Ovis aries: one gene and its partner. The protein of the gene in region 1 purifies or fractionates together with the protein of each later gene. This does not show direct contact. Links are inferred from orthologs where the notes say so. Each region holds a gene or a part of one and is shown in the gene's direction. Other genes may lie near its edges.

The links.
Region 2: the proteins of TMEM259 (region 1) and TMUB1 purify together in Homo sapiens (affinity purification with mass spectrometry; 3 studies listed by BioGRID, with this or other methods). This does not show direct contact. The link is inferred for Ovis aries from reciprocal best matches to the Homo sapiens genes TMEM259 and TMUB1.

The regions. Positions count from the first base shown.
Region 1 is NC_056058.1:41,199,694-41,213,687, reverse strand, and holds the start of TMEM259 (membralin), read left to right. Parts: upstream 1-7,162; 5' UTR 7,163-7,298; coding exon 7,299-7,547; intron 7,548-10,456; coding exon 10,457-10,732; intron 10,733-11,166; coding exon 11,167-11,266; intron 11,267-11,377; coding exon 11,378-11,488; intron 11,489-11,734; coding exon 11,735-11,857; intron 11,858-11,942; coding exon 11,943-12,043; intron 12,044-12,131; coding exon 12,132-12,189; intron 12,190-12,276; coding exon 12,277-12,360; intron 12,361-12,448; coding exon 12,449-12,581; intron 12,582-12,653; coding exon 12,654-12,753; intron 12,754-12,838; coding exon 12,839-13,384; 3' UTR 13,385-13,994. Other genes in the region: CNN2 (calponin-2), read right to left, coding at 2,165-2,227. UniProt on the Homo sapiens protein: May have a role in the ERAD pathway required for clearance of misfolded proteins in the endoplasmic reticulum (ER). Promotes survival of motor neurons, probably by protecting against ER stress.
Region 2 is NC_056057.1:115,270,377-115,286,175, reverse strand, and holds TMUB1 (transmembrane and ubiquitin-like domain-containing protein 1), read left to right. Parts: upstream 1-9,561; 5' UTR 9,562-10,402; coding exon 10,403-10,929; intron 10,930-11,195; coding exon 11,196-11,547; 3' UTR 11,548-12,010; downstream 12,011-15,799. Other genes in the region: FASTK (fas-activated serine/threonine kinase), read left to right, coding at 12,416-12,497, 12,711-12,764, 13,310-13,735, 14,410-14,589, 14,697-14,836, 15,331-15,544, 15,650-15,799. UniProt on the Homo sapiens protein: Involved in sterol-regulated ubiquitination and degradation of HMG-CoA reductase HMGCR. Involved in positive regulation of AMPA-selective glutamate receptor GRIA2 recycling to the cell surface.

The DNA.
Region 1 (13,994 bases):
GTCTTCCTAAGGCTTTCCAGACCTGGGCTCCACTTCCTGCTTCCTGCATATAAACCCCTAGACATGGGATCAGGCTTGAGCTGCTCAGAGTACAGGGGAGACAAAGGCGGGAGGCTGGCCTGTGAACCTGATCTGTTTAGCCCACTCCCTCCTCGGATCTCCTCCCTCTCCTGTCTCTGGTTCCCACGCCCAGCAGAAGGGTGGTGGGGGAGGAGGGGGGGTTATTAGGATCACTGAACTTGAAGCAGGCAGGCTGGTCTGGACCTCTGGCCTGCCTGCCCAGCTGGGCCCCATCCTCATCCTCGACAGCTCACTGGGGCTGGGGCCAGGGAGGGTCCCACGCAGGGGTGCCTGGCGGGGCCCCACCCGCTAGGCCGCCTTCCACCCTGCTGCCCAGCTGGCCTTCAGCGCATTCCTCCCCACCGCAAACTGCCAGGAATGCAGCCGCTGCCTCCCTGCTAAATCAGGACCAGCTGTTCCCAGCGGTCCAGACCCCCCAGTCAGCCAGAGATCTCAAGGGTATGCACTGGACCTCAGCCTGCCTGTATGCCATCCAGCAGTGGGACTGAAGCCTGGGGTAGGGGGCAGGGGGTCTTCCTCCTCTCAAAGTGGACGGTCTAGAAACCACAGGAAGCTGGTTTCCAATTCAGGTGGGTCCCTGAGGTGACTCCGGTGTGGGGGTGGGGGCCCCGCCCATTCTCCAGGCCTGCAGACTGAGGGCTGGTTACAAGGAGCTTCTGACCTCATCCTCCACAGGGCAGGTAACGACCTGCCTCCATCCCACTCCATCGCAGGAAGCTGCCCCCACCCCGCTGGGGTGCTGTGCCCTCAACCCACTTCCTGCTGCTTCGGGGGAGATGCCTGGCTGCCCAGGAGGACTGCTGGCCATCGGACACTACCTATGCCAGGTCTGGGTTCGAGTCCTGACCCTGCCTCTGATCTGCTAGGTGGGTCTGGGCCGTCTGAGCGATGTCTCTGAACCCCATGTGCTAAGGAGGAATCTTAGAGGGTCTTGGCTGGGTGGGGACTATCAACACTCTGCACCCACCAAGGCATTACTGCTGGAGTGTGGAATTGTGTGTTCAAGGGAGAATCGATGGGGAGCTTGCCAGGTGACCATGCTCGGACCCTGGGCTTCCCAAATGGGCTGGAGGGAGGTTCCTAGTAGCTCACAGAGTTGAGATGTGTAAATTCTCCCTCTGGTCTCTTGACCTAGTAGTGACCTGGGGGCCAGCAGGGCTGTGTCCCCAGTGTGCCCAGGCAGGCTCCTCCCTGGGGCCACATTCCCAGGTGCCTGGTGACAGTGTGTGCCTAGGGGGTGGACAAAGATGACAAACTCCCCTCAAGCTGGAAAACCCTTGTGTGTTGGGCTTAGGACCTCTCCCCCTGCCCTCCTGGGCAGAGATCATTCTATGCTCCTGTTTCCTTGGATGCGCTGAACCTGCTGTGTTACCTTGCAGAAGTCTCTGCCCTCTTGGGCTGGAACCAAAAGCACTTTCTGAAAAAGAAGTGTGCCCCACCCCCCCACGCCCTAGCCCGCATTTTCAAGTTACAAAACCCACATGCTAGGGTCACATTCAGGGGACTGGTGGACCTCTTCGCTATTTCTTTAAGTGTGTCAGATGGTGATAAAGAGAATGGGGAAGGTAGGCCCTCTCGATTCCAACTCCCCTCACCCACCCAGTGCCCCACCTCCCAGGTGTAAGAAGTCGGTAAATTCTTTTGGGGGGCCACACCCTTCTCAAAAACACCTGGCCCGCCCCCTTCCTTCCCCGAAGCTTTAAGTGGTCCAAAAGCAGAAGTGGGGGAGGGGATGAAAAGGGGCCGCTGGGGTTCCCTCAGGACCTTCTCAGGCCTTGAAGCGCTAGAGGGGCCCAGGGCTGGGGGGTTCAGAGCGGTGGGCAGAGGGCTTCAGATGAGTAGAGGCTGAGGGAGCAGGGCTGGGTAAGGGGTTGGACCCAACCGCTCCTAGATGTTGGGGGGTGGGGTGCCAGAGCACAGACCTCACTGTTTCCCCAGAGTTTAGGAAGCATCGGAGGCACCCTCGGAACTTCGGGGGAGGAGGGCCGCCCCCGATGCCCAGGGAGGCCAGCGGGGCGCCCGTTCTGCAACCGCGGAGGGTGTGACGGGCTGGGCTGGCAGAGAGGGCGCTCCCCTCACTCACCCGGTTCTTGACCTCGGCCGAGAGCCCGTACGAAGGCCCCTTGTTGAACTGCGTGGAGCTCATGGCTGGCGGGAGCGGCGCCGCGGGACGGGACGGACGGACCGACGGCCGGGCTGGCGGGCGAGCGGACAGGGGACGCGGACCCAGGGCCCCGCCCCCACCGCTGATTGGCGCGGGGCGCACATGTCCTTATATGGCTGCGCCGCGCCGGATTCCTGAGGCCTCGGGCTTCCTGAGCCCCTGAACCGCCCGACCCCCGCCCCGCCCCCTCGGAACCCCCGGGAGACTGAGGCCGGGAGGGACGGGTCCCCGCACCACGGAGACCTGGCACCCTCTCCTACTCAATGCTGGGAGCCCCCGGGGGCCTCTCCCCATGCTTTCTGGGCCTCAACTAACCTTTCTACATAATGATGGGAGGGGGAAAATGGTTGAATGAGACCCTAATTCCCTTTGGACACTAATGCGGGGAAGAGGGACCCTCATCTGATGCTTAGAGGCGCCTCCCAGTCTAGGTCCGCTTCTGGAAACCCTCCTAGCTGGGTGGTAGGCAAGGGAACTAGGACAGGCTCTTCAGCGGAGGGGGCCACTGGCGCTGGGACTTTGATGGAAGAGTAGGAGTTTGCCAGTCCAAAGGGTATTGTTTGTCCTGGCAGAACAAAAAGTGCCAAGACTTGGAGGGACCATCAGTGGTTGAAAGTGTGCAGAGATCAATCAGATAGGTTGGGGAAGTGGGGGATGAGAGGAGACCCTAGATTCTGGGTTGGGGAATGGTGGGAATGGGGAGGAGATGGAACAGCAGAGAGTTGAAATCAGGAGATATCTTGGGGGTAGAGTTGAGGACGCCAAGGGAACTAAGCCAGGCACACACTTGGCACTCAATACATGCTGCCTGCTTGTACAGATAAATCAATAAATTAATAAAGGGATAAATTTCACTTTTTCAGTAACATTCATTCGCACAACTATTTACTTCTTCATCAAAAGCTCAATGACGGGGCCACTGGGCCAATCCCTTGCTAGGCTATACTGGCTCCCTCCTGGCTCTGGCCCTGCCCATCCCTGAGAAAACAGACCCTGGCATAGACACTCCCGCCCCATGTCAGCAGGTACAGGACAGAGAGAGGTGTCTGGGGTGGAGGAACCCCAGGAGGGAGTGGGTGCTCCCCTGAAGGGGTAAAGGAAAGAGGCATGTAAGAGAGGGCATGGGAAGTGGGGTTTTGAAGCATAAGTAGGAGTTTGAAATATTTGACAAGTGATCTGTGAGGGCTTAGAGATTACTCACCCTGCCCTTCCCAGGAACACCCCTCCCCAGTACCCCACTTTCTCGATGTCTATTGACTCTTTCCCTGACTATGCATCTCCTATTCTATGTGAAGGCTCCTTTCTTCAGGGCTCGAGTCCTAGCTGGGTGATCTTGGGTGAGTCCCTTCCCATCTGGATCTCAGTTTCATTATCTGTGAAATAGGGACCAGTGGTCAACCAGACAGTGCGGCTGAGTATGGGAACAGGGTGGTTTCTCAGTGTCTAGGTGGGGAGTTGTTTGGGTGGGGGCTGTACTGGTGGACTCCTTGCAGATTCCACAGGGAGCAGGACCAGGGCACTGTGGGGGCTGGTAGTAGTGGGAAGGAGGCTGGAGCCAGCCTTGTGGGCTATAGCCCATGGGATAGCAAGGAGTCAGACACAACTGAATGACTGAGAACACACTATATTCTTAGCCTCCTGAAACCCAGAAATTCAGATCAGATATCTGAGAATTCAAAACCCTGAGGTTCCAAAAGCTTAGAATATTATAATTTGAGAAACTCCCCCAGGACCTGAGGCTTACAGAACTATGTGGTTCTGTGTAATCTTACAACCTCAGTGGGCCCCACCTGGGTTCAAATTCCCGGTCAGCTGAGATAAGGGCATGTCAAAATCTCAGGAATTTTGGCTCAGCCTCGGAACCTGGCCAAGAGGCCTGGGGCCTCTGCAGTTGCCCTACAGCCTTGAACGCTGGCGCCCATCTCTCCATCCAGGACTGACCCTGGGGACACTGTGGGGGTAAGGAGGGCTGTGGAGTGATGCAGACTCACTGAGGACAGATTCAGGTACTCTGGGAAGGGGGCCACGGCTGGAGGACTTGGAGTTGTAGGAAACCCTGGAGCCTCAGCCTTGGGTGCTGGGCCCCAGGGTCTGGGTGGGTGGGCACAGGGGCTGCAGGTGCGGTGAGGGCCTTCTGGGCTTTGCATAAGACCCCGGGGATCCTATGTGCCAAATGATGCAGTAACAAGAAAACAATGATAGTCACAGTAAAATGACAAGCCTGCTAACTCAGGTCAGCATCTCCCTGCCCACAATCCGCCAGGCTCCCTATCACCCCTCAACAAAGGTGTCCTCCAGGTCCCCAGGTCTCCCTAGCTCATTGTGTTCCAGAGGCATGGGGCTTCTCCTCGCTCTGCCTCCAATAATCAGCCACAGGCTTGCCTCAGAGCTTCCACCTGGCTTGTTCACTGTCTGCCTTCTAGAACCTTCTCAGTAAGCCGTAACCAGGGCTCCCAGCCCCAGTGCCACTCACACATCCCAGACAGGTCCCAACTGACACTCACAGTGTTCTGTGAGATCCAGCCATCTCCTGAAGTCCCCAACAGAAGATGAACCCAAACCAAAAAAAGCAGAAGCCACCACCACGTTGTAAAACAGTTATCCTCCAATTAAAAAAGAATAAAATAAAGTAAAATAAAATCGCCGACTGTCCCCAGAAGTGCGGAGCCTGGCCCTTCTCCGTATCTTTGTATTAGATTTAGAACTGTTTCCCTCCATTTTCCTTTTTTGTGACAGTAACTTTCATTTGCTCCCCTGGGTCGAGTGTCTCTCTAACGTGGAAGTAAGTGCTAGATGGGGATTGCCTGTACAGAAGTCACTTGCCACACGGCCCTACTTCAATACAAATTACCTCAATGAAAATAAAGTTTAAAATCCCATTCCTCAGCTGCACTGACCACATTTCCAGAACTTAGGAGTCACATATGGCTAACTCATTAGACCTCGCTGCACATTTCAGGGACCCACAGCACCCCCACTCACCCCCACTGAGTGGCTGGGTTTTCTCCCCAGATCAAGGGTACATCGACTGGCCTCACCATTATAAAAGAGGAGCTTGTGTTCTCCTTTTGTGACCAGTAAATGATCTGGGGGTGACCTGTAACAATATCAAAAATGTGCATTGGTTGAGCAGCCACTGTATGCTAGGCTCCCATACAGGGCATTCTCTATGAAAGAGGAACAGATGGGATGACCTTAGCTTCCTGTCCACCTCAAGGAAGTGGGGCTCACCGGATTATGAAGCCAGGCGGGTAGGTCTGGAAAGTTCTCTGAGGCTCTAGAACAGCTGAAAAGTCTCTTCCCCGCCATGCCTACCTCACACCCTGGTTTCTCAGAGGCCCTGACTGTCCCTTCTTATTGTTCCCTGGGTGTCCTTCCCCAACGTCTGTACTCAGGTGTCCTCTCCCACACCCAGCCTCTGGCTCCTCCTGCCCTTCGATGCTCCCTGCTGCAGCCCACCCATTCTTGCTTTGGAGCACAGGGTGGAAGTACTGTACTTGGCATACAGTAGGTGCTTAGTGAATGTTGGATTCTGTTACTACCATGGCTGCTAGGAGGTGCTCAGGCTTTTCAAAGATGAATGAATGAGCATGTCTGTAGTCCATATGTGGGCTCCCAGGTCTGGGACATCTCAAGTGGGCAACTGGTGGCAGTCAACAAGGAGGGCATGGTCAGGTATAGACCATCTGCGATCCCGCTTTAGTTGACAAAGGGCTGTCCGCTCAGCCGTCCTGGAAAGACTGGAACGGCGGGTCTGGCGCCCTAAGAGCCGGAGAGAGATGGGTGGTGCTGAGCGGCCCGCGTTCTCAAAAGGAAAACCTAGTCAGGATGAGACGGTTGGATGGCATCACCGACTCAGTGGACACGAGTTTGGGCAAATTTCTGGAGATTGTGAAGGAGAGGGAAGCCTGGCGTGCTGCAGTCCATGAGGTCGCAGAGTCAAACACGACTGAGCGAATGAACAACCAAAAGTCGGGAACGGACCGAAGGCTGGAAGGTTGGGCAAAAGCAGTTCACTTAGCCTCTTCTGGACCCCTAAAATCCCCCGGACCGCCACCAAGTGCAGACAGAGGGAGAGAGGTCCGTTAGTTCTTCCAGTCACCGACCTCCGCGAGATGGGGGTTCAGTTTAGTTCAGTCGCTCAGTGGTGTCTGACTCTTTGCGACCCCATGAATCGCCGCACGCCAGGCCTCCCTGTGTGTGCATCACCAACTCCCGGGGTTCACTCAGACTCACGTCCATCGAGTCAGTGATGCCATCGAGCCATCTCATCCTCTGTCGTCCCCTTCTCCTCCTGCCCCCAATCCCTCGCAGCATCAGAGTCTTTTCCAATGAGTCAACTCTTCGCATGAGGTGGCCAAAGTACTGGAGTTTCAGCTTTAGCATCATTCCTTCCAAAGAAATCCCAGGGCTGATCTTCAGAATGGGGAGGTGGTACTTAAGCTAGACCCTGCAACGTCACGGGCCTTTATGACGTCACGGCGCATCAGGTTAGTCTGCTTAGGGGAACAGCGGCCCCGGCCTAAAGAATTCCACACAGGTTTTCTGGGGACGTAATTTAAAGACCGCAAATCAAATCATTTTTCAGCCAGAACACTCTACTGTGAGCCTATTTTCAGTATAGTTTTCTAGAGTCCAAAGTAGAAAACAGCTCCAACAGTCGTATTTCCTTTCAGTATATTTTATCACTTCTAAACGCTTCAGATATTGACTAATTTTGACGCTCGAGTTGCAGCGGTGGAGGCTAGTAGGGGCAATAGGCGAAAGACCCGGGCCAGACGCAGCCCCGCCCCTCGGCGCTCGCGAGCCGGCTGAGACTCCAGAAGGCGGAGCAACCGCGGGCCGACCGCCGGCTTCCCAGCGTGCACCGCCAGCGCAAGGAGGCCGCTCTAGCCTTCGCGGCGACTCGCTGGCGTCAGCTGGGGTGCGGAGGCGGAAGATGGCGGCGGCGGCCGGGCGGCTGTAAGCAGCGCGGCGGCGGCGAAGCCTGCCGATGGCGGCCAGGAGGCGTCCTCGGGGAGCCGCGGGCCGTTAGGGTGCTACGCTGGGCGGCATGTCGGAGCACGCGGCACCCGGGGCCCCGGGGCCTGGGCCCAACGGCGGTGGTGGCGGTGGTGGTGGCGGCGGCGGCGGCGGCCCGGCCCCCGCGCGCGGGCCTCGCACCCCCAACCTCAACCCCAATCCTCTCATCAACGTGCGCGACCGGCTTTTCCACGCGCTCTTCTTCAAGATGGCTGTCACCTACTCGCGCCTCTTCCCGCCCGCCTTCCGTCGACTCTTCGAGTTTTTCGTGTTGCTCAAGGTGACCGCAGCCCCAACCCTTAACCCTAGCGGATGGACCCCCCCTACCCCTGAGTTTCGACCTCTGACTCCGCCCGGGACAGAGGCATAGACCCGGCGGGGCCGGTTGTGACCCTTTCCTTAAGCCTGCCACCCCCGCCACCCTTCCCAGAAACTTCCACCCGGCAAGGCCCTAACCTCCCCGAGTTAGTGGCCCCCTGATCCCGATTCCAGGAACTCACTCCGAGCCCCTCCAGGCCGCACCCCACCGCTGGCCTCGCCTTTCCCCGCGTCCCCACCTCGGGAGACCATAGCCCAGTCCCGCGACCCTCGACCCTGTCGCCTGGGATCTTCATCCCGGGATGACCCCGTCCCCACTACTGAGCCTGATCTCGCCGCGAACCGCATACCCGGGGATTCCGGGCCCAACGCCACTGCCGCCTCTTTGGACACACCCCCGGACCGCCCACCTGCACCGGAAGCTGCGCCCCACTTTTCTCTCCCCCTTTTTCTTGGGGCTGGCCTCCTGGAGCTCTTCTGCTCCAACTCAGATTCTACCCCTTCTGGGGGAAGGTGACCAGGCCGAGGTCACGTCACCAGCGTTTCTGGCAGAGCCCCAGCCAGCGGTGCCGCTGGTGGCTCGGTGAGGGGCGTCTCGCGGACCCGCCCCTCGTCCTCCCTTGGCTGTGCGGGCGGTTCGGCGGTTCCTGGAGGGCCGGCGCGGGTCCCTCCAAGGAGGGGTCTTAATCAGGGAGGGAGCCGCTGGGTGCCGGACCCCGGCTGTCTGGCGGGTCTGAGGAAATGGAGAAATGGCTGTTCTTGTTTGTGTCCTGTCCTGTCCTGGGGGGCCCCCTGGGTGGGGGCTGGGACCATGGTTGCCGACTTAGGAGGGAGCTTGAATTCCTTGTCCACAGAAAGGGGTCTGAAGCAGGTGGGGACGGGCCAGCGAGGTTGGGAGCCCTCAGCTCTTGGGGTTGGGTAGCAGGGGCGTGTGCAGGGCTGTCCTACAGACCTGGGAGTGGGTCCCCACTGAGCCTCTCAGGTCCTGAGCGGCAGCAGGTGTCCTCCCCGGGGGCCTGGACTCTGGAGTGTTCCTCAGTAGGGCTTCCCTTACCTGGTGCGTGGGAGCCATGAGCAGCTTGAGAGTGGGCAGAAGGCCGGGTGTGGGCGTGGTTGCCTCCTGGAAGAAAGTCCTGGCCTACCTGCACCCTCAGGAGGAGCCCGTGTCACCAGAGGGAGTGAGTGCCCTGTGTGAGGTGGGCCCCCACGGAGCTCAGCCTTCCTGAGAGTCCAGCCTGAGGCCTTGGCTTTGTCTTTCTGCTTGCTTCCCAATTGGGACCAAGGAGCAAGTCAGGGATTGGGCCAGCTGCACAGACAGGCTGCACATCCAGGCTGTGCCCCTGGTGTGGGGGCCCGTGGAATCAGGCCACCCTTAGCTCCCTACATCTTTTCTCTCCATGGCGCTGCGGCCAGAAGGCCCCCCTCAATTCTCAGGTCCCTCCCTGACCCCTGGTGCTTTTGGTTTCCCTCCTTTGCAAAGTGAAGGCTGAGCTAGTCAATCTGTGAGGCTGCCTGAGTTCCAGAAAGCTCCCTTCTTTGCTTTCCAGCTGCCTAGCTTCTGGACTCTTGTTGGAGATCAAGTTTCCCTCCCCACCTCACTTGGTCGCCTCTTCCTATGGCACCTGTTCTGCTCCCACCTGCAGAACTGGTTCCCCCCCTCCCTTGCTCCCTGCCACCACGTGCCCCCTGCCACCTTGTGCCAGTCTTTGGGACCAGAGATGAGTGACTGACCGGGAGGAATGGGGAAGAGGCAGCAGCTACCAGGGCAGGGTCCAAGTCAGAGCAGATGACCTCAGGCTGGGAGGAAGGAGGTGGGTGCAGGGATGGCGTGTGCAAAGGTCCTGGAGCTGGTGGGACAGCGTGGCCAGTGAGGTGGAGTGTTCAGTCACGGGGTACCAGAGGTTGGGGGCTAGAGTACCCAGGGCCTGTGATATGGCCAGGCCAGCTGCCAGGCAGAGGACAGAAAAGGCCTTGGATGGATTCCTGAAATGCTGAGAGGGATAAGGGGGCGGGGCCGCCTGGTGGGCGGGGCCGCCGGCTGTGTCTGCCGATAGGGTCTTAGGAGGCCGCTGTTTGCCAGCTTGTTCCAGGGAGGCTGTGGGGAACCAGGTCCAGCTCAGGGGCAGGCCTTGTCCAGTGGGGCGAGAGTCTTGGCCTGTCTCTAGGCACCCACCCAGCTGGTCAGGGTGATGGACCGTACCTGGGGTTTCAGTTCATGGTAGGGGGGGCTGTGAGGGGCGCTGGAAGGGACTCCAGGGTGACAGTGGGGACTTGGCCACTCTGAGGTCACGGGTACCCCATCTATCCATATGCCCCTCTCAGAACCTAGCTACCCTGCCTGGTGTTTCCTCCAGGTTTAACTCCTGGCTCCACCCCCTCCTGGCTGTGTGGCCTGTGCCTTGGTTTCCTGTCTGCAAACTGGAGATGATGGCAGGCATGTGCCTTGCAGAGACGAGCTCAGGCAGCCCCTGGCATCGTGCCACCTGCATGTCAGCACTTTCTGTGACGTCTCTGCATGTGGTGCAGTGTTGTCCTCATGGCCGAGGATGAATGGTGTCCTGGACATGGCTCCTGCTGGACACTGGGGCCCAGAGAACACAGCTGGGGCTATGGGTCAGCTCTGACTGCAGCCTGCTGCCACCGTAGGCCCCACGCTTTCCTGACTCCCGTCGTCAGCTCACAGGTCCCCATACACGTTGTGGAGAGGTGCTTGGGATTCCCAGAGACACTGAGCCTGTGGCCACATCTCTGGCCTCGGTGCAGGCTGGCCTGTGAGAGGCTCTACAGCTGTGGAGGCCTGTACTAGGAAGGGTCCTCATTTCGGGGGGCGGGTCCCAGGCAGCTCCCCGCTGACCGCTCCCTGCCCTGCAGGCCCTGTTCGTGCTCTTTGTTCTGGCCTACATCCACATCGTCTTCTCCCGATCACCTATCAACTGCCTGGAGCACGTGCGTGACAAGTGGCCCCGTGAGGGCATCCTGCGGGTAGAGGTGCAGCACAACTCGAGCCGCGCGCCCGTCTTCCTGCAGTTCTGCGATGGTGGCCATGGCAGCTTCCCCGGCCTGGCCGTGGAGCCAGATGGCCTGGAGCTAGAGGAGGACGAGGAGGAGGAGCTGACCATGGACATGTTCGGGAACAGCTCCATCAAGGTGAGCAGCCGGGACGTGGTTAGGGCTGCAGGGGACACTCCTGACCTGCTGGGCCGTTTCCCAGCTGTTTACTGAAGGCCTGGTTCTAGGGTGCTGAGGGCAGACAGGCTGAGAAGCAGGCTTTGGGCTCAGAGCCCTGAGGTGGTTCTGGCTATCCTTGGTGCTGTGGCTGCCCACAGGATGGGAAGCCTAGAGGGAGGGCTGTGCTCAGGTGGCCAGAGGTGGGTGTGGGTGGAGCGCTGGTACAGACCAGCAGGAGGCCCCATGTCGCTGATCCTGTCCCTCAGACCCTCACCCAGAAATCTCGGAGCTCAGTGTTGGAGTTAGGGCTTTCATGGGTCGGGGTACATCTCCTTCCATTGGAGGCGGGTAGAGACCTTCAGGCCAAGCCTTAGGTACCAAGGGCCTGCTGACCTCTGCTTCCCACTGTGCAGTTTGAGCTGGACATCGAGCCCAAGGTGTTCAAGCCACCAGGTGGCCCCGAGGCCTTAAATGACAGCCAGGAGTTCCCATTCCCTGAGACGCCCCCAAAAGGTACCACCACTCCCTGGGGCTACGTCCAGTGATGGAGGTGGGGGTGTGGTACAGTCCCCCCAGACCTCCCAGGAGAGGGCTCCTTTACTGACCAGCTGTCCCTGCATGCAGCCTGGCCGCAAGACGAGTACATCGTGGAGTACTCGCTGGAGTACGGCTTCCTGAGGTTGTCACAGGCCACACGCCAGCGGCTCAGCATCCCCGTCATGGTGGTCACACTGGGTGAGTGCCCCTGCCGAGCAGAGCAAGGCCCAGGGGAGGGACCTCCTTCCTCCTCAATCTTGGGTATCTTCCTCAGGGAGGGGTGACCCGGAAGCACTTGTGTCCAAGGTCTCAGGGTTGCCCTTGCTGCCCAATTGCAGGAAACTTCCCAGGGCTCCATTCCTCCACACGTGTCAGTCACAGCTCTGCCGGGCAGTGGAGTTCTGTGTCCCTGGACTAACATCGCTGTCCCGGTCCTGCCCACAGATCCCACGCGGGACCAGTGCTTTGGTGACCGTTTCAGCCGCCTGCTGCTGGCCGAGTTCCTGGGCTATGATGACATCCTCATGTCCAGCGTGAAGGGCCTGGCAGAGAATGAGGAGAACAAAGGTGCGGGGCGAAGGCGGGGCCTGCTTAGGTGGGGCTTGGGCTGGGGCGCTTGCTCACTGCCTCTTCCGCTCCACCCCTCATGCAGGCTTCCTGAGGAATGTGGTGTCTGGGGAGCACTACCGCTTTGTGAGCATGTGGATGGCCCGCACGTCCTACCTGGCTGCCTTCGTCATCATGGTCATCTTTGTGAGTGCCTCAAGCAGGGTGGGGAGGGGCAGGGTGGGGCTGGAGGAGCAGGGCAGCCATCCAAGGCCTCATGGTGGCCCACTTGCAGACCCTGAGTGTGTCCATGTTGCTGCGCTACTCTCACCACCAGATCTTCGTCTTCATTGGTGAGTATCCCCTCTGGCCACCTCCCCTGCCCCTCCCCCCTTCCGGGCGCCTCACCCGGTCTGCCCGCCCGGTGCCCTCTCCCGCAGTGGACCTGCTGCAGATGCTGGAGATGAACATGGCCATCGCCTTCCCCGCAGCGCCCCTGCTGACCGTCATCCTGGCCCTCGTGGGTGAGGACCCTGTGCCCCCACACCCTGCCCCCTTCCCTGGCATGCTGGCCACCCACCTCAACTGGGGGCTCCTGTCTCCCCCCACCAGGAATGGAGGCAATCATGTCTGAGTTCTTCAACGACACCACCACAGCCTTCTACATCATCCTCATCGTGTGGCTGGCTGACCAGTATGATGCCATCTGCTGCCACACCAACACCAGCAAGCGGCACTGGCTTCGGTGGGCACCGGGGGCCGTGTGGTCTGGGGTGGAGGCAGCTGGGTGGGCAGCACCTCACTGTTCCCCTTGCAGGTTCTTCTACCTGTACCACTTTGCCTTCTACGCCTACCACTATCGCTTCAATGGGCAGTACAGCAGCCTGGCACTCGTCACCTCCTGGCTCTTCATCCAGGTGAGGTGGGCATTCCTTGCGACTGGTGGCCCGAGGGTCCAGCCTGTTGGGGGTCCCTCGCCTGACACGGTGCCTGCCCCCCCAGCATTCCATGATCTACTTCTTCCACCACTACGAACTACCCGCCATCCTGCAGCAGATCCGTGTCCAGGAGATGCTGCTGCAGACACCACCACTGGGCCCCGGAACCCCCACGGCCCTGCCAGATGACCTGAACAATAATGGAGGCATCCCACCTATCACCCCCGACGCTGCCAGCCAGTCCCCTGCCCTGGGCCCTGGCTTGCCAGGTGCTGGTGGGGGCCCCGGGCCCGTGGCTGAGGCACCTAGCTCCCTGGTGGCCGCAGCGGCCTCAGTGGCTGCAGCAGCCAGTGGTGACCTGGGTTGGATGGCAGAGACAGCTGCCATCATCACAGATGCCTCCTTCCTGTCTGGCCTGAGCGCCTCTCTCCTGGACCAGCGGCCAGGCAGCCCCCTGAGCCCCAGTGGGGGGCTCCTACGGGGCCCCCAGGACAGTGCCCCTACAAGCAACTCTCCAGGGTCTGATGCAGTCCCTCAGACCACTGGGGGGGGCAGGCCCAGCCCTGCATCCACCGATCTAGTGGATACGCCCTCGGAAGTCGGCTCCTGAGCCCTGGGCAGCTGACGGCCTCTATCCCTGGCTGTCCAAGCCAGCTGGGTGTGACCTGGCTGGAGCCCTCAGGGGTCAGGGAGACTGTCCCCAGTGGCTCTGGGAATGCTCAGCCTGCCTTAGGTGGTTTGGGGTCCATCAGGTTTGCTGGGAGGCAGGTGTCTCTCCCCCGGGCATGGGGCCAGCCTACAGCCTGTCCCTGGTGGGTCTCCTCAGCTAGTAAATCAAGACCAGCCTATGAACCAGGGTAGAAGGGGTGGGGGCTCCATGGAAGGTTCTGAAAGGGTGGTGAAGGGTCTGGAGCAAGCTGCCCCGGAGCAAAGCATCGGGTGGGGCTGGCTTAGCTGGTGCTCTGTCATGCCCAGTGCCTTTCCACGGCCACCCTACGTGCCCGGGCTGGGGGCCCGGGAAGGTGGAGCTCGGCCTCGATGGCGCATAGGCGCCAACATCTAAGGCAGCCAGGGGATCCGGGGTTCCGCCCTGCTGTGGGTGGGGAGATGGCCGGTGACCCAACCCAATCACTCTGTGAGGAATGCAGAAGAGCGCTCATTCCACTCTTATTTAATTGCAGTGTACAAAATGGTGTTTGTATATAGAATAAACTGTTGAC
Region 2 (15,799 bases), on another chromosome or scaffold:
CGATCTCATTTGCAAAATGGGAATGATATGCACATACCCGAGAAGACTGCAAGGGCAGAGGCCTAATGACAATCTCCAGCAGGCAGGCGAGGAATATTCACTGGTGGGACACCACATAGCCCAAGGTCCACACCTCAAAGCAGGTGATTCGGGTCACCTCTCCTTCCCACTTCCATAACCCCAGAGCTTAGCTCCCTGGGCCAAACCAGCTGCCCCGTGCCCTTGGCCTGTGTGGCGGAAGCTGGCTAGATGACAGGAAGAATGCAACTGCTTCAACAAAACCCCTATTCTCTGTTTAATCGAGTTACCTGCAGAGAATGGGGGCAAGCCAAAGGGTCCTGGGTAGGTGTTCAGGCAACGCTGAACAGGCCCCTAGGTTCACAGGGCCCTGGGTCGGCCCCCTTCAGCCTCAGCTCCCCCAGGCTAGGGTCTCCTTCCTCCCTCCATTTCTGAGGTTCTGAGATCAGAGGCCCGCTGACAGCGGCGCGGAAGGGCTCATGGCCAAATGCACGGCATGGACACTAAGAGCTCATTCATCCAATTCTCCCGCCTGGTTTCCCTGTGGCCCTGTGCCCTCTGCTCCAGCCGGCACCAAATGGAGAGTTCATTCTCAAATGCGAGTGAGGAGGGAAAGAGTTAATCGCTCGGTCATGCTCGACTCTTTTGTGGCCTCTTTTTCTGTCCATGGGGCTTCTCCAGGCAAGAATACTGGAGTGGGTGGACATTTCCCTCTCCAGGGCATCTTCCCAACCCAGGGATTGAACCCAGGTCTCCAGCATTGCAGGCAGATTCTTTACCATCGGAGACACCAGGGAAGTCCCAACCTGCTTTCAGATAACACCTGCCTGCTTCAACCAGACAGCTCCTGCTTCAACCCTCCAGTGACTGCCCATCTCCTGCAGGCTTACGTGCCACCTTGAGTGGATTCCTGGAACAAGGTGAGCTGTAAATGAATTTATACAGGATAAAACGTTCAAAACTCCTGCACCAGGGTCCTTCCCCTGTGGACTCAGTGCTCAGGCACGCAGACCAGCCTGCGGCTCCTTGAGCCCCATCCCTTGCTACCTTTGCACACCTGCTCCCCCTGCACGGAGCATCTCCCAGACCCCGTGCCTGGCACACACATTCAATTAAAGAAGTAAATGGTAGGGACTTCCCTGGCAGTCCAGTGGTTAAGACTCCAGCTTCCACTGCAGGCGGCGTGGGTTCGATCCCTGGTGAAGGAACCAAAGTCTCACATGTTTGGTACAGCCAAAAACAAATAAATGCATAAATAAATGGCAGAAGCAAGCTACGGTACATGCCAGCCATGGGTATGTTTAGGAACACGGACTGTCTTGCAAATCTGGCAGAGAGCTGGAACGCAGTGAAGGAGGACTAAATGGTTGGGGGTGGGGGGGCATCTCCAGGCTCCCCCCCACCGAGTTCCTGCAGGCTTGGGGTCTTGACAAGCCTTTCCCAGCCTCTCATCTTCGCCCTGCTTTTCTTAAAACTTGGGCTTTACTCTTGCCACTCCCAGGCCCCGCTCTGGGACCTGCTAAGGGCTGATCCATTCACCTTCAGTGTCCAGAGTGCTGGCTCTGCCCCGCCCTCCCCTCCTGCTCTCCGCAGTGCTAGATGCAACTGGGCCACATTGCAGGAGCTAATACACGTATCTGGAACAGATGCAGCTTTCCCTGGCCCCTGGCACCCACACCAATATCCTCTTTTTGAGAATTCCTAGAGCTCTTTAGTGCAAAGTCCTCAATAACCGGTCCCCCAAGAGGCATGCATTCCCCAAAGCAGCTAATTACCACAATGGCCCTGGGGATGTTACACACCCTGGGCCCCCATCCCAAACCCACCAAGTGAGATCTCTTGAAGGCAGCAAGCCCCGCGGGCTCGTGTTATCAGCAGGTTGGGGAATGCCTATCCCCAGGAGCAGGAGAAGGGAATCAGCTCAGGACAGAGCTTTTCTGTCTCCAGAATGGACCCAATGCTTCTCTCCACATCACAGGGCTCTTGCTGGGATCTGGTCACAGGAGAGGAAACAAGGGACAGAATCTACAGCTCTGGGGAGACCTGCAGCTGCAGAGGCTCTGACCGCCCTGCCCACAGTTCCGGGCCACCTTCTCACCTTAGCCTGGATTTGAACCAGGAACACCCGCACCTCTTTCTATCTGAGTCCCTTTAGAATGTTACCAAGCCCAGAGCCCATGGAGGTAGGCAGACAATGCCTCAGTGAGTAACAGGACAGCCATGTGCTGCCCCGACCAAGGAATTTCACTGCTTAAAAGCCCCTGGAAGAAGGCAGGCCTGGACCCAGCAGAGGCCAGGCTCCTCACTCTCTCCCTCTTCATGGTGGCCTCGCAGCTTGAGGACTGGGGCAATCCTGGGGGCCACTCCCCAAGCCAGCTCTCCAGCAGGACCACACTCCTGTGTCCCAGCTCACCAGCTGGAGGCTTCACTTTCCTGAAGTTTTATTTTACAATAGGGGTTTCCTTAGGTGGCTCAGATGGTAAAGAATCTGCCTCCAAGGCAGGAGACCCGCACTCCATCCCTGGGTCGGGAAGATCCCCTGGAGAAGGGAATGGCCACCTACTCCAGTATTCTGGCCTGGAGAATCCCATGGGCAGAGGAGCCTGGCAGGCAACAGTCCATGGGGTCACCAAGGGTCGGACATGACTGAGCGATGAGCCCTTTTTTGCACACTGTAGACAAGTTACATTGATAAAACATGCTTTTAAACTAAACTAAGTTAAAACATCTCAAAAAAAAAAAAAAAAACTTGCAGGAACACCAAGGGCCATAGGAACAAGTTAACCAGTTGACGAAAAGCTGCCCAGGACCACGGTCTGATTCCTGGCTGTGTGTCACCCCGGGGCAGACCTCTCTGAGTTCAGGGCTACTCAGGGACAAGCCTGCCTTTCCAGGCCACCCGCGGGGACCCCAAGGGCGGCCTTTCCCAACAGCTCATCCCAGCTCCCAGCTCACATGGCCCAGCACACCTGGGTCCCACGTGCCTAGGTTGTCCCCATCTGGACCTGGATCCTCTGAGGCCCTCTTTCTAGGACACGGGGCACACCATCACGTCCCTTACTCCTCCGAGCCTCAATGCCCCAACCAGGGCGGCGAGGGTGGCTCAGAGACTCCTCAGGCGGTGAGCTGTCTCCCCCTCCATCCTGGCTCTTGATGATACCCTCATACATTCCGTAAGGCCTAACAGTGGACAGGTTCTCTCTTTCCTTGCCCTTGGAGGGAAAAGGAACTCCCTCCCTCCAGATCCTGTCCTGAAACACAGGAAAGCTCAGAGTTCCTCTGCTTCTTCCTGCTCTGGCCACAGGGTTCAGAGGGGCTGAGAGAGGGCAGGAGGACAGGGTGCCACTGAGCCTTCTCAGTCCCAAAGGGACCCCTGACCACACCTCGCCGGTCACCTCCAGGGTTAGGATGAATGCCCTTCACCAAAGCACCACCGAGTGAGGCTTACTCCACACGAGGGAAATGTCATCCCTCGCCACTAAGAGGCTCACGTCTAGCAAACATAGGATCGGCCTCCCTGGTGATGGATGTGTTTATGTAACAGCCTCTCGACCCAGGTCTGCGGGGGCCCTGGCAGAGGGTTGAGGGGGGAGCTCGTCAGGCTCCTAGGGTGAGCAGGGAAACGCCCCGCCTGTGAAGCTGCCCCCCACCCCACCCTCCGCTGGGGAGGCAGGGATGCTGTTTGCAGGACAGCAGCAATATGGTTTGGCAGATGGCGAAAGGAAGGATATAGGGCAGAAATCGGAGAAGGAGTTTTCTGGGCTTTTTTTTTTTCTTTTTGATGCCTGCCTACAGTGGAAAAGCTAGGGCGACAGAAGTGGGAAAGCAGGGGTGAGGTGGAGAATCAAGATGGGTTCCAGGAGAGAGGTTGGCCAAAAAAAAGGGGGGGGGGACGGAGGAAAGAGGGAGGTGGCCTCGCCAAGAAAAAGCAGGGAAGTAGAGACTAGGAGAGCTGCGAGCGGATGTGTGAGGAGCAGCTGGGCCTGGTGACAATGAGACACCAGGTCCCAGAATCCGAGATGGTGACACGGAGCTTCCAGGCGTGGTAGACGGAACGCAGGGTACTTCCAAACCGCAGTGGGGAAGTTGGTCACGGGGGTGGGCGCTAGAGGGGGAAATTCTGCCTGTCGTGTTGGATTCAGGACGGGGGTGAACACCCAAGTGTGGCCCAAGAATGCTGGCTTGCACATCACAGAAGATGCTTGGCCAGAGACCTCCTGAGCTGGGGAGGGGGTGTGGGTGATTGCTCTTAAGGAATCGGAAGTTAGAGGTGGTGTCCAGCCGAGACCCTGCCTCTCCCCGCTCAGCCTGCCTTCCTCCACACCCCCCCCATGGCTGTCCCACCAAGCCTCTTCCCCCTCCAAAAGGGTCTGTGGGGGGCGGGGGGTGGGTGAGGGAGGCATCTGGGCACTGATGGAACTTACTTCCTCTGGGGGAAAGCGGGAAGCCACAGGGAATGGCGGCTCTCCTCTTCAGACTGGGGAGGAAAAATTGGTCATCTCCTCTCTTTCGGGGGCCCCTGGCTCACACATATGCCACCTCCTGGTCCCCAGCCACACCGATGATTCAGGCCATTTACTCAGATCCAAGCTAATGAGGTTTTTTTTTTTTTTTTTCCTGTCACCTAATTAGTTCACAGTGAACTCAGCCTGGAGAGGGATGAGCAAGGGCTGGGCAAGGGACAGCAAGAAGTCAGAGGGGACCATGTCGAGAACAGAGCGGAACTCCAGCTCTAAACGAGGTCCCCTACCCCCCTCCAAAAAAAGCCAACGACTCCTTCCTCAGCCATGGGGACCCCTAAAAGCAGACAGGGGTTTTTCAGGGGAAGGACACTCCACCCCAAGAGCCTCACACAAAGAAAGACGCCAGTGGGGCCTTCCTGTGAGACCCCAGTAGTGGACAGGCCCCTTCCCATCAACTCCAGGTCCTCAGCAAAAGGCCCTGCCCTTTCCCGGCATTTCTGAACCCACCACCTGCTGGGGGGCGACCGCATTCAAAGGGAAAGGAGCAGGAGGAGGAAGCAGATGGCCCAGGCCCAGGTCCATCTGCCCCACGGGCGCTCAAAGGTCACCATGCCGCCGAAGTGCGGGGTGCTGCCGATGCTGTCTGTCCCCACTACACCAGGGGTCCTGGCACATCTGCCAGCAGCGTGCCCCCACTTCCTCTGCCCCTCAGCTGCCAAGTGCAGGCCTGAGAGCCTGGAGAAAGGAGCGCTGGGTAACTAAGTGGCCCACGGTTCCAGTTTCCGACGCCTGGCACCCGAGTCCCTGGAGGTCGGTCAGCGCCCAGGAGCCCCCAGCTCGCCTCTGGAGCCGCTCCCTGGAGAGCAGCGGCGGGTGTCCGGCGCGCGTTGGACCCAGCGAAGGCGACACTGGCCCGGCAGAGGCCTCTCACGCGGCCCCCGGTGACCCAGCCCCGCGCCAGGCCTGCCCCGCTCCCGGCCGCCGCGGCGTGCGGGGTCTGCGTAGGCAGAGAGGGCCTCGTGGAGCGCCACCCTCCGGGGCCCGCGGGCGCCGGGCCCGGGAATGCTGCCATCCACTAACGGCAGGCTCCGATTCACCGCTGCGAGGCGGGCAGGGCCGGGGCGGCAGCTGAGACGCCTCTCCGGCAGCTGCCCCACCTCCTGGCCCGCCGAGGCCCTCCGCCGCGCCCACCCTCCTGGGCCATGCCCGACCAGACCGGGCCCCAGGGCCCCGGAACCTCCGCGGCTCCCAGCGCACCCGTCCCCGCAGCGACGCCACCCTCACAGCCTGGAGCCCGCAGATCAGAAAACGTGTCCCCCGGCACGGGACCTGCCCCCCAGCCCCAAAGTGTCGCCAGACGAGAAATGGCGAAGCCTGGCCGCCGGCTCTGCAGCGCCAGCGATCGGCAAACCGCGTGGCCCCGACCTCAGGCGCGCAAGGACCCCCCAGACCGGGAAAGCGTGGCCAGAACAGGCCGGCGAAGCCCCCGGCCGGGGCCGGAGAGGCCACCGCGCCCCGGCTCCCGCAGCCCCCGGCTCCGCTCACCCTCGATGGAGATGACGTGCTCCCGGATCTGATTCTGCAGCGCCAGGTCCTCGATGCGCTCGATCAGGTCGTAGATGGCGTAGATATTGGGATGCACGGACTCGAAGCGCTGGATCTCGGCCCGGATAGCCGCCGAGTTGGAGAGCGCGAACTGCTGGGGGGGCCCGCCGGCCAGCTGCTGCGAGGGGCCGCCGCCGCCCCCGGCCCCCGGCCCTGCGCCGCCGAACTGCCCGCCGCCCCCCGCGCCGCCGCCGCCGCTGCCTCCCGGCGCCGCCAGGCTCGGCTGCTGCTGCGGGCTCTGTCCCCCGCCCGCCTGGAAGTTCATGGCTCCGGAGCCGCGGGGCCCGAGGCGGGCCCGGCCGGGGCCCGGGGCGGCGCTGCGGCGGCGGCGGCGGCGGGCGGGCGCGCGGGGCTGGCGGGGCCCGGACTACGGAGCGGGCGGCGCGAGGCTAGTGCATGGGGCCGAGGGCTGGGGGCAGAGGCCAGGAGGCGCCGCCGCGCACGCTGGGGCCGCTGCTGCCGGGCGCTCCCCGGCGCCGCGATCCCGCTGCCTGGAAGCCGCCTCCAGCGGCAACAACAACGGGACCGGGAGCGCGCGGCCCGGGCCCTCCCCGCCGCGTCATGCGCACGCACCACCGCCCCCGCCGGCTCCGGCACACGCAGCCCGAGCCCCCCTCCCCGCCGCCCCCGCCCCTCCAGCGCGCGGGCCCCAACGCCCCCGCCCCTCTCTAGCTGGCTGGAGAAGCAGCCTCCACCCCCGAGGCGCGCGCTCGGCCCCGGCGGCCGGCCCCTCCCACCCAGCCTGGGCCCTTCCGCCTCCTTTCCAGCCCCCACCACACCCGCTGCGAGGGCCACTCGCTTGGAGGGGACAGCTGCCCTGCCCGCCTCGCGGCCCCAGCTGTCGCTTTCGCCCCCCTGCGCTGGTCTGGGTGGAGTGTCTGTTCTCCAGGCAGTGCCGGGATGCTGATGAACGCGGCTGGTGGGCCGAGGAGGGTCGCCGCCCCGGACACAATTGCGCCTCGCCTACACTGTCCTGCCATCCGTGCGGCAAAGGCTCCCCTGTCCCTGGGCCCCGAGGTCACCGCTAGAGACCACGCCAACTCAGGGTTCTTTCTCAGGCCCTCCCTGGACTTTCCATTGCCGGCTGCGGGCACCGAGGCTGGGAATCTGGGTCCCTGGTTTCTATTTCCAGTTCTTCCTGAGACCTTCATCTGTGGGGCCCTTGAAAATGACACTTGAAACAACAATGTCCTCGCTCTTATCTTCCAGCCTCTCCTAAAAGATCCCCACTGCCGGACTGGTGTAGGATTCAGTGAGTGCTGCTGGACCTCCCTGGAAAGGGGAAGGAAGAAAATAATCAAATATTATGCCTTCTTCCCCCACTCACCCCATTTAAGACACTCACCAGGGTCCACATGGTGGCCTCAGTTTTCCTTGTTTTCTCTCCTTTGTCCATCCTGTGTTCCTGTCCACTCCCAGGGCCAGGAAGCCCCCTTCAATGTCCTAGTTCCTCTGCATCCTCATTGCTAAAGCTGAATGCAGATTCACTAGCCACCCCTTTCCCCCCGGCTTTTCCTAAACTCCATAAGAGGTGGCTTGTGCAGAACCCAGGTCCCGGCCAATCAGCCTGCCAGGACTCTACCCCCATGTCCTCTGGCACAGTTGACAGATACTATCCTTTTTACATACACTTCCACTTCCAAAATACCCAAGCTGGGTATTTTCCCAGCGTAAAGTGGCCCACCATTTAAGCTACCCACACCACTTGACCCCAGTACCAACCTGGTCACCTTTCTAAGTATCTTGGACCTTCCAAAGAACCTAGTGCAAGCTAATCAACACCTTGGGGCTTCCCAAGCTCCAGAGAGGTGTGGGTCCTACCTACCTGCTTGTTCTGAAGAATGTCTTTCACCCTCTTTGGGTTTCATCTGAAAAAAAAATTAGTGGTTGAACAGATCACCTAGCCTAATATTCTGTAAGTCTAAAAGCAGTACCCAACATGTATTTTAGATGCTTAATTAGAACTGAAAGCAAGAAGTTGCAGTAGGTACCTCCCAGGAGAGATGCTGAAGGTAAAGAGCCCCTCAAAAGTGTTGCCCCAGCAGTTGGCACATGCCTGTTTTAGCACTAGTGGGCCAATTGTCTGTGTCCTCTATTAGTACATTAGCTACATGAGGGCAGGGATACAGTCTGATTCGCCATTGTATTCCCAGAGTCTGAACCAGCGCCCAGCACATGCTATACATTTAATGAATACTTCTAGAATAACTGGATAAATGGGAAGGAACTAGAGATAAGTTATTAATAGTTCTGTACGTTGTAAGTCTAAACTGACAGTCCCAAGGCAACATCTGGAGTGTTTGCTCCCATAAGTAGGCATAGGCTATCAGGGCACCAGGGTACATTACTTTTAATCAAGACTGACCTATAAAGTTTGTGGCTATAGGAGCCCAAAGGAAGGAGGGAAAACCTATAGAAATTAACTTGGCTCAGGCCACATGAGGCTCAACATCGCCTGTACAACAATACTCTTAAGGATCCAATTTCTGAGCCCAAATTTCAGGGGAGGAAGCGTTCTAAGTGAATAAATATCTACTGTGTGACAGATCCCCTCTACAGTTTTCACACTTCTTTAATAAAACACCAAACTTCGCCCATTACAATTGTCTTCTGAGGTAAGTTTTAAGAACGAAGAAATTTAGGTTCATATAGATTCAATAATGCACTCAAGGTCATATAGTTGATAAGCACAGGATAATGGGTCAGAATTTTTTGCCATGTTCCAAAGTCTATGCTCCTCACAGTCTTACAGGAGCCCAGTGGATGAGGAGCCAGGTAAATAAGGCAGCCCCAAGCCCCCCAGAGGATGAGATGGCTGGATGGCATCACCGACTCAATGGACATGAGTGGGTAAACTCCGGGAGTTGGTGATGGACAGGGAGACCTGGTGTGCTGCAGTCCATGGGGTCGCAGAGTCGGATACGACTGAGCGACTGAACTGAACTGAAGCCTCCCATGGCCAGCCCTGAAGACCCATCTCCTCAGCCAGCCTTGGGGGCAGGGAGGGGAGCGGGCAGCCCGTGGATACTGGGCTCTGGGCTGAAGAGTCAACGTGGAGGGTCCACTCTGACTTAAGAGTAGGCCGGCGTAGGGTCCACCTGCGCTCCCCAAAGACTGCATCATCAAACCCCGGGTGGGGCGGGGGGGTGATATGACAGACTTAGCCAGAAACCAGCTGACGTTGGTTTCTGATGTGATACACATCCTGGCTGCCCGCGGGTGAGGGAGAGGATCCTGCTGTCCCCTACTTCGCCCCGAACCTCTGCGGGCGAGCACAACCTCAAAGCCGCCGCCGCCAGCCCCTCAGCGATCTGCGGGGGCTCGGCGCAGGCGGCTGAACTCCGCACGTGGGTCCGCAGCGCAGAACGCTGGACTGCGCATCCTTCCAGACTACAAGACCCACAATGCTCCGGGCGGCGGCGGCGGGGAAGGAGGGGGTGCCTCCAGGTGTCTGCGACCTCGCCACCTCCCTCCCGGAAGTGCCCGAGGGTCCGCTATGGAGCTGGCGGAGCCTGGCGGTGAGTCCCTGCGCCGTGGCCGCATCACCCCGCTGCCCTAGCAGCTGGCCCGGCTGGCCCCGCCCCGGGATCTCCCGCGCCCGCCAGCCACTCGGGGTGTGGGGGCGGGCGGCGGGAAGATGCGAAGGGTGGTGGAGGATGGAGGTGGGGAGGGCAAAGTCTTGGGTTCCCGGGCGAGATCCGGGGTCTTGCAGCAGGCTGGGTTTGGAGAGGTTTCCCAGGGGAGGCGCGGGGTCGGGACGCCTTGGGTGGGGTTTGAGTGGACCAGGGGGGCCGAGTTGGGGTAGGGGTTAGGGTTGTGGGTGGGAACCCTCGGAGGTTCCAGTTTGCCAAAGGGAAGCAGTTTGACATTTGGCGTGGGGAAGCCTTGGGAAGCTGTCCTGTGCTGCGGGTGGGGGTTGGCTGAATGGTAAGGGGGCGTTGTGCGTGTGCGTAGAGACCTTTTTTCTACCCCCTTGGAGAAACTTTAGCGATGGAGCAGTATTAATAGATAGGCTTTGCCGTGAAATAGGCAAAGGAGTAGATAAACTTTGAGATGACCTAAATGGGGAGAATAGGTAAGCTTTGGGGTGGTTTGGTAGGGGCTGAATTTAAGGGAGAGGTTGCTTAGAAAGTCAAAGCTCTGACTTCGGAATAGGGTTTGGGTGAATTGTGGAACTGCTTAAAGACCTGAAATTTAGGTTACAGAAAATTAGGACTTGTGATTTGGTGTTGGGAAGGGGTATGTAGGGCAAGTTTGGGGTGGCCAGGTGTCAGAGCAGTGTATGTCCCAGGGTAGGGCTGGGATAACTGGGCGGAATGAGGACTGTGGGAGAGTTGTGGTTGGATGGGGTCAGGGGCCCCCTGAAGTTCAGAGGGCTCTTGGTGGGTGAGTCAGCCCCTCATGGGTTCTTTGTGCCTCTCCAGCCCGGTAGCGTGGCAGGCAAGGCAGGTGCCATGGCCCTGATCGAAGGGGTAGGTGATGAGGTGACCATCCTTTTCTCGGTGCTTGCCTGCCTTCTGGTGCTGGCTCTCGCCTGGGTCTCAACGCACACTGCCGAGGGCGCCGATCCACTGCCCCAGCCGTCAGGGACCCCAACACCAACGCAGCCCAGCGAAGCCATGGCGGTCATGGACAGCATCAGAGGGGAGGCCCCAGGAGCTGAGACCCCCGGCCTGAGACACCGAGGTCAGGTGGCACCACCAGAACCCGGAGTGGGGCTCGCAGCAACGCCGCCACCTCCGGACTCCCCCCAGGAGCCCCTCGTACTTCGGCTGAAATTCCTCAACGATTCTGAGCAGGTGGCCAGAGCCTGGCCCCACGACACCATTGGCTCCCTGAAAAGGTAAGCCGGGAGGATGACAGGAAGGAAGTGCTAAAGAGTAGGGCGGGGATGATCACAGTCCTAGAAGGACCAGCAGAGATCCCGGAGATCCTCTTATAGATGAGGAAACTGAGGCCCCTAGTCACACACTGTATTGCTCCCCTGAAGCAGAAGGGCCCCACACACACACACCGTGGAGGCCAGAGGTGAGGGTAGGAGAGTTGTTCCGGACCAGGGGCCAGGAGTGCCTGAGACTCGCTCTATTACCCAGGTCCCTCTCTCCTCAGGACCCAGTTTCCCGGCCGGGAACAGCACGTGCGACTCATCTACCAAGGGCAGCTACTAGGAGACGACACCCAGACCCTGGGCAGCCTTCACCTCCCTCCCAACTGTGTCCTCCACTGCCACGTGTCCACACGGGTGGGTCCCCCCCTCCCGCCCTGCCCACCGGGGTCCGAGCCAGGCCCCTCAGGGCTGGAAGTAGGCAGCCTGCTGCTGCCCCTGCTCCTCCTGCTGCTGCTTCTGCTATGGTACTGCCAGATCCAGTACCGGCCCTTCTTTCCCCTGACCGCCACTCTGGGTCTGGCCGGCTTCACCCTGCTCCTCAGCCTCCTGGCCTTTGCCATGTACCGCCCGTAGTGCCTCCACGGGCTCTTGGCCACGCCACCGGCCTCTCGGGACCTTGCTCGCCACGACAAGGTGGGAGCTGCTGTCTGCCCAGGCCCGCCTCTCCGACCTGCCTCTTCCCACTACCCTGGAGCCCAGCGCTGCGCGGCAGAGCACTCCGAGGGGCGGCGGAAGCCCCTCCCTGTGACCTTCATGGCTCTGGGCCACCTCCCGGGGCAGCTGGCCCTCAGCGCCCCCTGACAGTGGGCTACCCCAAGTCAGACAGCTGCTGTAGTTGCCTTGGCCCTGGACAGAGCGGGGCCACGCCCCTGGGCCCTTAAGGGCTCAGCCTGAGGACCTGGGCACCTCTTAGTCCCGGATCGCTCCTTGGCTGGTTTGGGGGCCCGAGGACTGGGAAGGGCTGGAGAAGGGGAGTCGGGATGGGTGGAGGGGGCTTTCTGGAACACGTGCAGATTAAATAACTGTGACGTTTTCACTCTTGGCCTAGTGTCTGCGTGTGTGGGTCGTGGAGGAGGGGGGCTACGGGGAGCTCTGCCCTACTGGGAGAAAAGGGGTGGGCCAGATGCTTCGCCCTACCCTGCCCTGCCCGCCCAGGCCAACCGCTGCTCACTCCCCTCTGCACCCCAATCTCATCCCCCAGCCCTTTGGCCCCGCCCCTACCCCGCCCCTACCCCGCCCCAGGCCTTTGGTCCCGCCCCAGCCCGGCGCCGCGCGCGCGCAGCTTCCCGGAAGCAGGGGGCGGGGCGCGCGGCGCCCTGGCGCGCGGGGCCTGCCGGGAGCCACGTCTTTGCTGGCGGAGGACCTACTTGGCGCGGCGATTGGCGTCCGGGCCGCGCTGTTCGGGGGCTGCCGGGAAGATGGAGGACTCGGTGGCCCCCTGATGAGGAGGCCGCGGGGGGAGCCCGGCTCCCGGGCCCCGAGACCGACCGAGGGAGCGACCTGCGCGGGGCCTGGGGAGTCATGTAGGGGTGGCGCCTGCGGGGCGGGCCGCGGGGAAGGGCGGCGGGAGTTGGTGTTGGCGACCGCGACCACGGTCTCCTGGCATTCCCCCCGGGCCGCGGGTGGGGGTGTGTGTGGGGGCCCCCCTGACACCGCCGACTCCGCGCCGTAGCGCAGGCCGCGCCCGCGGGCTCCACGGGCGCCCTCCGAGGTGGCCCTGCGTTCTCGTTTCACAGGCGAGAAGGCTTGGGCAGGGAGACCGAAGCCACTTGTCCAAGGTCACGCAGCTGGTAAGTGGGAGCGCCCAGCATGGAACCCAGGACCACGGAGCCCGCGCTCCACCCTCCGGTACCGCCGCCGCCTCCTGCGGGAGGGGGAGGTGGTCGGGGGTGGGGGGGAGCGTATCTGTCCGGCGAGCTGGGTTCCAGGCTGGGCGCGACCACTAACCAGATTCGGGACCTCGGGGCTTGCCTTAACCCCCTCGCCTCCCTGGGCCTTGGTCTCTCCACCTGTGAAATCGAGATAGTACCAGCCCCTGCCTGCCTCCTCACGGGCGTGTCAGAGGAGGATCGGAGGAGATGATGCATGTGGAATTGCTCTGTAAAAAATCCTCCGCGAGAACTCTGAAGGATTCCGATTGCTCTCGCAAAGGTTGGAAGGAGTCAGAGAGGGGCGGGTTGGGGAAGAGGACCAGAGCAGTCACAAAGAAGGGTGAAGAGAATACGGGTTGCTCTGTCCCCAGACTCCTCTGGATGGGGAGCGAGGTGAGGAACAGAGAGTTGGTCTTTCTCCCCTTTGGAGAATACCTCACTCCCTTTTTTGGGCCACCCCTCAGGGTCTCCAGCACCCAACTCCATGCTTCGAGTCCTGCTCTCTGCCCAGGCCTCCAGTGCTCGTCTGTCTGGCTTGCTGCTGCTCCCACCAGTACAGCCTTGCTGTCTGGGACCCAACAAATGGGGAGACCACCGGCCTCCTGGAGGAGGCCCCCATGCAGGCCCTGTGCAGGGATTGCAGCGGCTTCTGGAACAGGCGAGGAGCCCTGGGGAGCTGCTACGCTGGCTGGGGCAGAACCCCACCAAAGTGCGTGCCCACCACTACCCTGTGGCGCTTCGTCGTCTGAGCCAGCTCTTGGGGTCTCTGCCGCAGCCCCCTCCTGTGGAGCAGGCCACACTGCAGGACTTGAGTCAGCTCATCATCCGAAACTGCCCCTCCTTTGACATTCACACCATCCACGTGTGTCTGCACCTTGCAGCCTTACTGGGTGAGGACGGTGTCTATGGGTGGGTGGGTGTCAATGGAAGGATAGAGAAACTGTAGCAGACCCACCTGAGATCACTGACAGAACCCACCTCAAGCTTTGCCAGGAATGGCACACTTGCTGAGTGATGCCACACTTGCTGCTCCTCTGCGGTATCCACGATAGTCATCACGAGTCAAGCAGCATGAGTTGCAGCTTAGGTTAGGGTGCCACCCCCTTTTTTGTTGTTTAGTCGCTAAGTCGTGTCTGGCTCTTCTGCGATCCAATGAACCATAACCCACCAAGTCCTCAACCCAATACTGGAGTGGGTTGCCATTTCCTTCTCTAGGGGATCTTCCAGACCCAGGGATCGAACCTGTGCATTGCCAGGCAGATTCTTTACCACTGAGCCACCAGTTCTCTTCTAATACAGTGCCCTAGGGAGCCACTGCAATTGATCATCATTGGCAAGAGATGAGATCTTACTGCCTTCTTTGTATAAGGCCTTTCCCACAGACGGTTGTGATACCTTTATTCACGTGGTAGTTCCTATTTCTCTGGTGTTTCCGCGTGCTCTGTAGCAGATCTTCCAGCCCAGAAAACAGAGATGAGAAGGACTGAGGATTCACTAACTAAAACTGCAGGATTGCAGAGCAGAGCAGCTCCTTCCCTGCCTCCTTTGACCCTCTGCCTCTCAGGCTTCCCATCAGATGGGCCCCTGATGTGCGCCCTGGAGCAGGAGCGAAGGTTCCGCCTCCCTCCGAAGCCACCGCCCCCTCTGCCGCCTATCCTTCGAGGTGGGCAAAGGTTGGAAGCCGCTCTAAGCTGTCCCCGTTTCCAGCGGCGTCCTCAGCAGCACCTCATCCGCAGCCTGGCAGGTGTCAGAGCGGGGGACAGGTGATGGGGGGGTGGAGGCAGGCAGTATCTGCTGGAATCTCACCCAGGTCTGGCCTGAGGGTCCAGCGTGATAAGCTGTTCTTCACAGAGGCCAGGCCTGAGGAACTGACTCCCCACGTGATGGTGCTCCTAGCGCAGCACTTGGCCCGCCACCGGTTGAGGGAGCCCCAGCTTCTGGAAGCCATTGCCCACTTCCTGGTGGTTCAGGAAGCCCAGCTCAATAGCAAGGTGGGATTGCCTCAGCTTCCCAAGCTCCTCTCCTAGTGGCCCTCAGACACCCCAGCAGGCCTAGCTCCCACCCCCCTCATCTTGTCCACTTGATTGACTGCTGCTTCCTGCAGCAGACCACCTACCTACGCTCTCTGGCCTCTCCCCTGGGGTACCACCTTGGCTCAAACCCCCACTGGCTTGTCCAACTCCCCACCAGGTACACCTGGTTCTCTGCACTTCTCCAAACATCCTTAGCCACTGTCTTAGCTTGGTCGATCCCACTCCACCAAGTCTTCAGGGCCAGAACCCGCAGCCGTGTCTCTGCTTGTTTGGAGACTGACATGGGACTTGAGCAGCGCTTATGCTATTGAGCATCTGTGCTGTAGAGGGACTGTCCTGCCTTTCCAGTGACTGATGTCATAAGCTTGCAGGCCAAGTCTTCCTGAGGTTCAGCTTGTAAAGAAGACCAGAGAAACTTCCCCCTGGGTGATGGGCTGCTCTTTGCCCCACAGGTGGTACAGAAGTTGGTCCTGCCCTTTGGGCGGCTGAACTACGTGCCTCTGGAGCAGCAGTTTATGCCCTGCCTTGAGAGGATCCTGGCTCGGGAAGCAGGGGTGGCCCCCCTGGCAACTGTCAACATTTTGATGTCACTGTGTCAGCTGCGGTGCCTGCCCTTCCGAGCCCTGCACTTTGTCTTTTCCCCTGGTTTCATCAACCATGTCAGTGGTGCGCAGACTTGGGGGGCTGGCTGTGTCCTGGAGGGCCGGGGGGCCGGGGAAAGCAGGAGTGAGGGTCTGCATCCCAGTAAGCCTCGTCCTGCTTTCCCCACAGGCACCCCTCATGCCCTGATCGTGCGGCGCTACCTCTCCCTGCTAGACACGGCGGTGGAGCTGGAGCTCCCAGGATATCGGGGTGCCCGCCTTCCCCGAAGGCAGCAAGTGCCCATCTTCCCCCAGCCACTCATCACTGACCGCGCCCGCT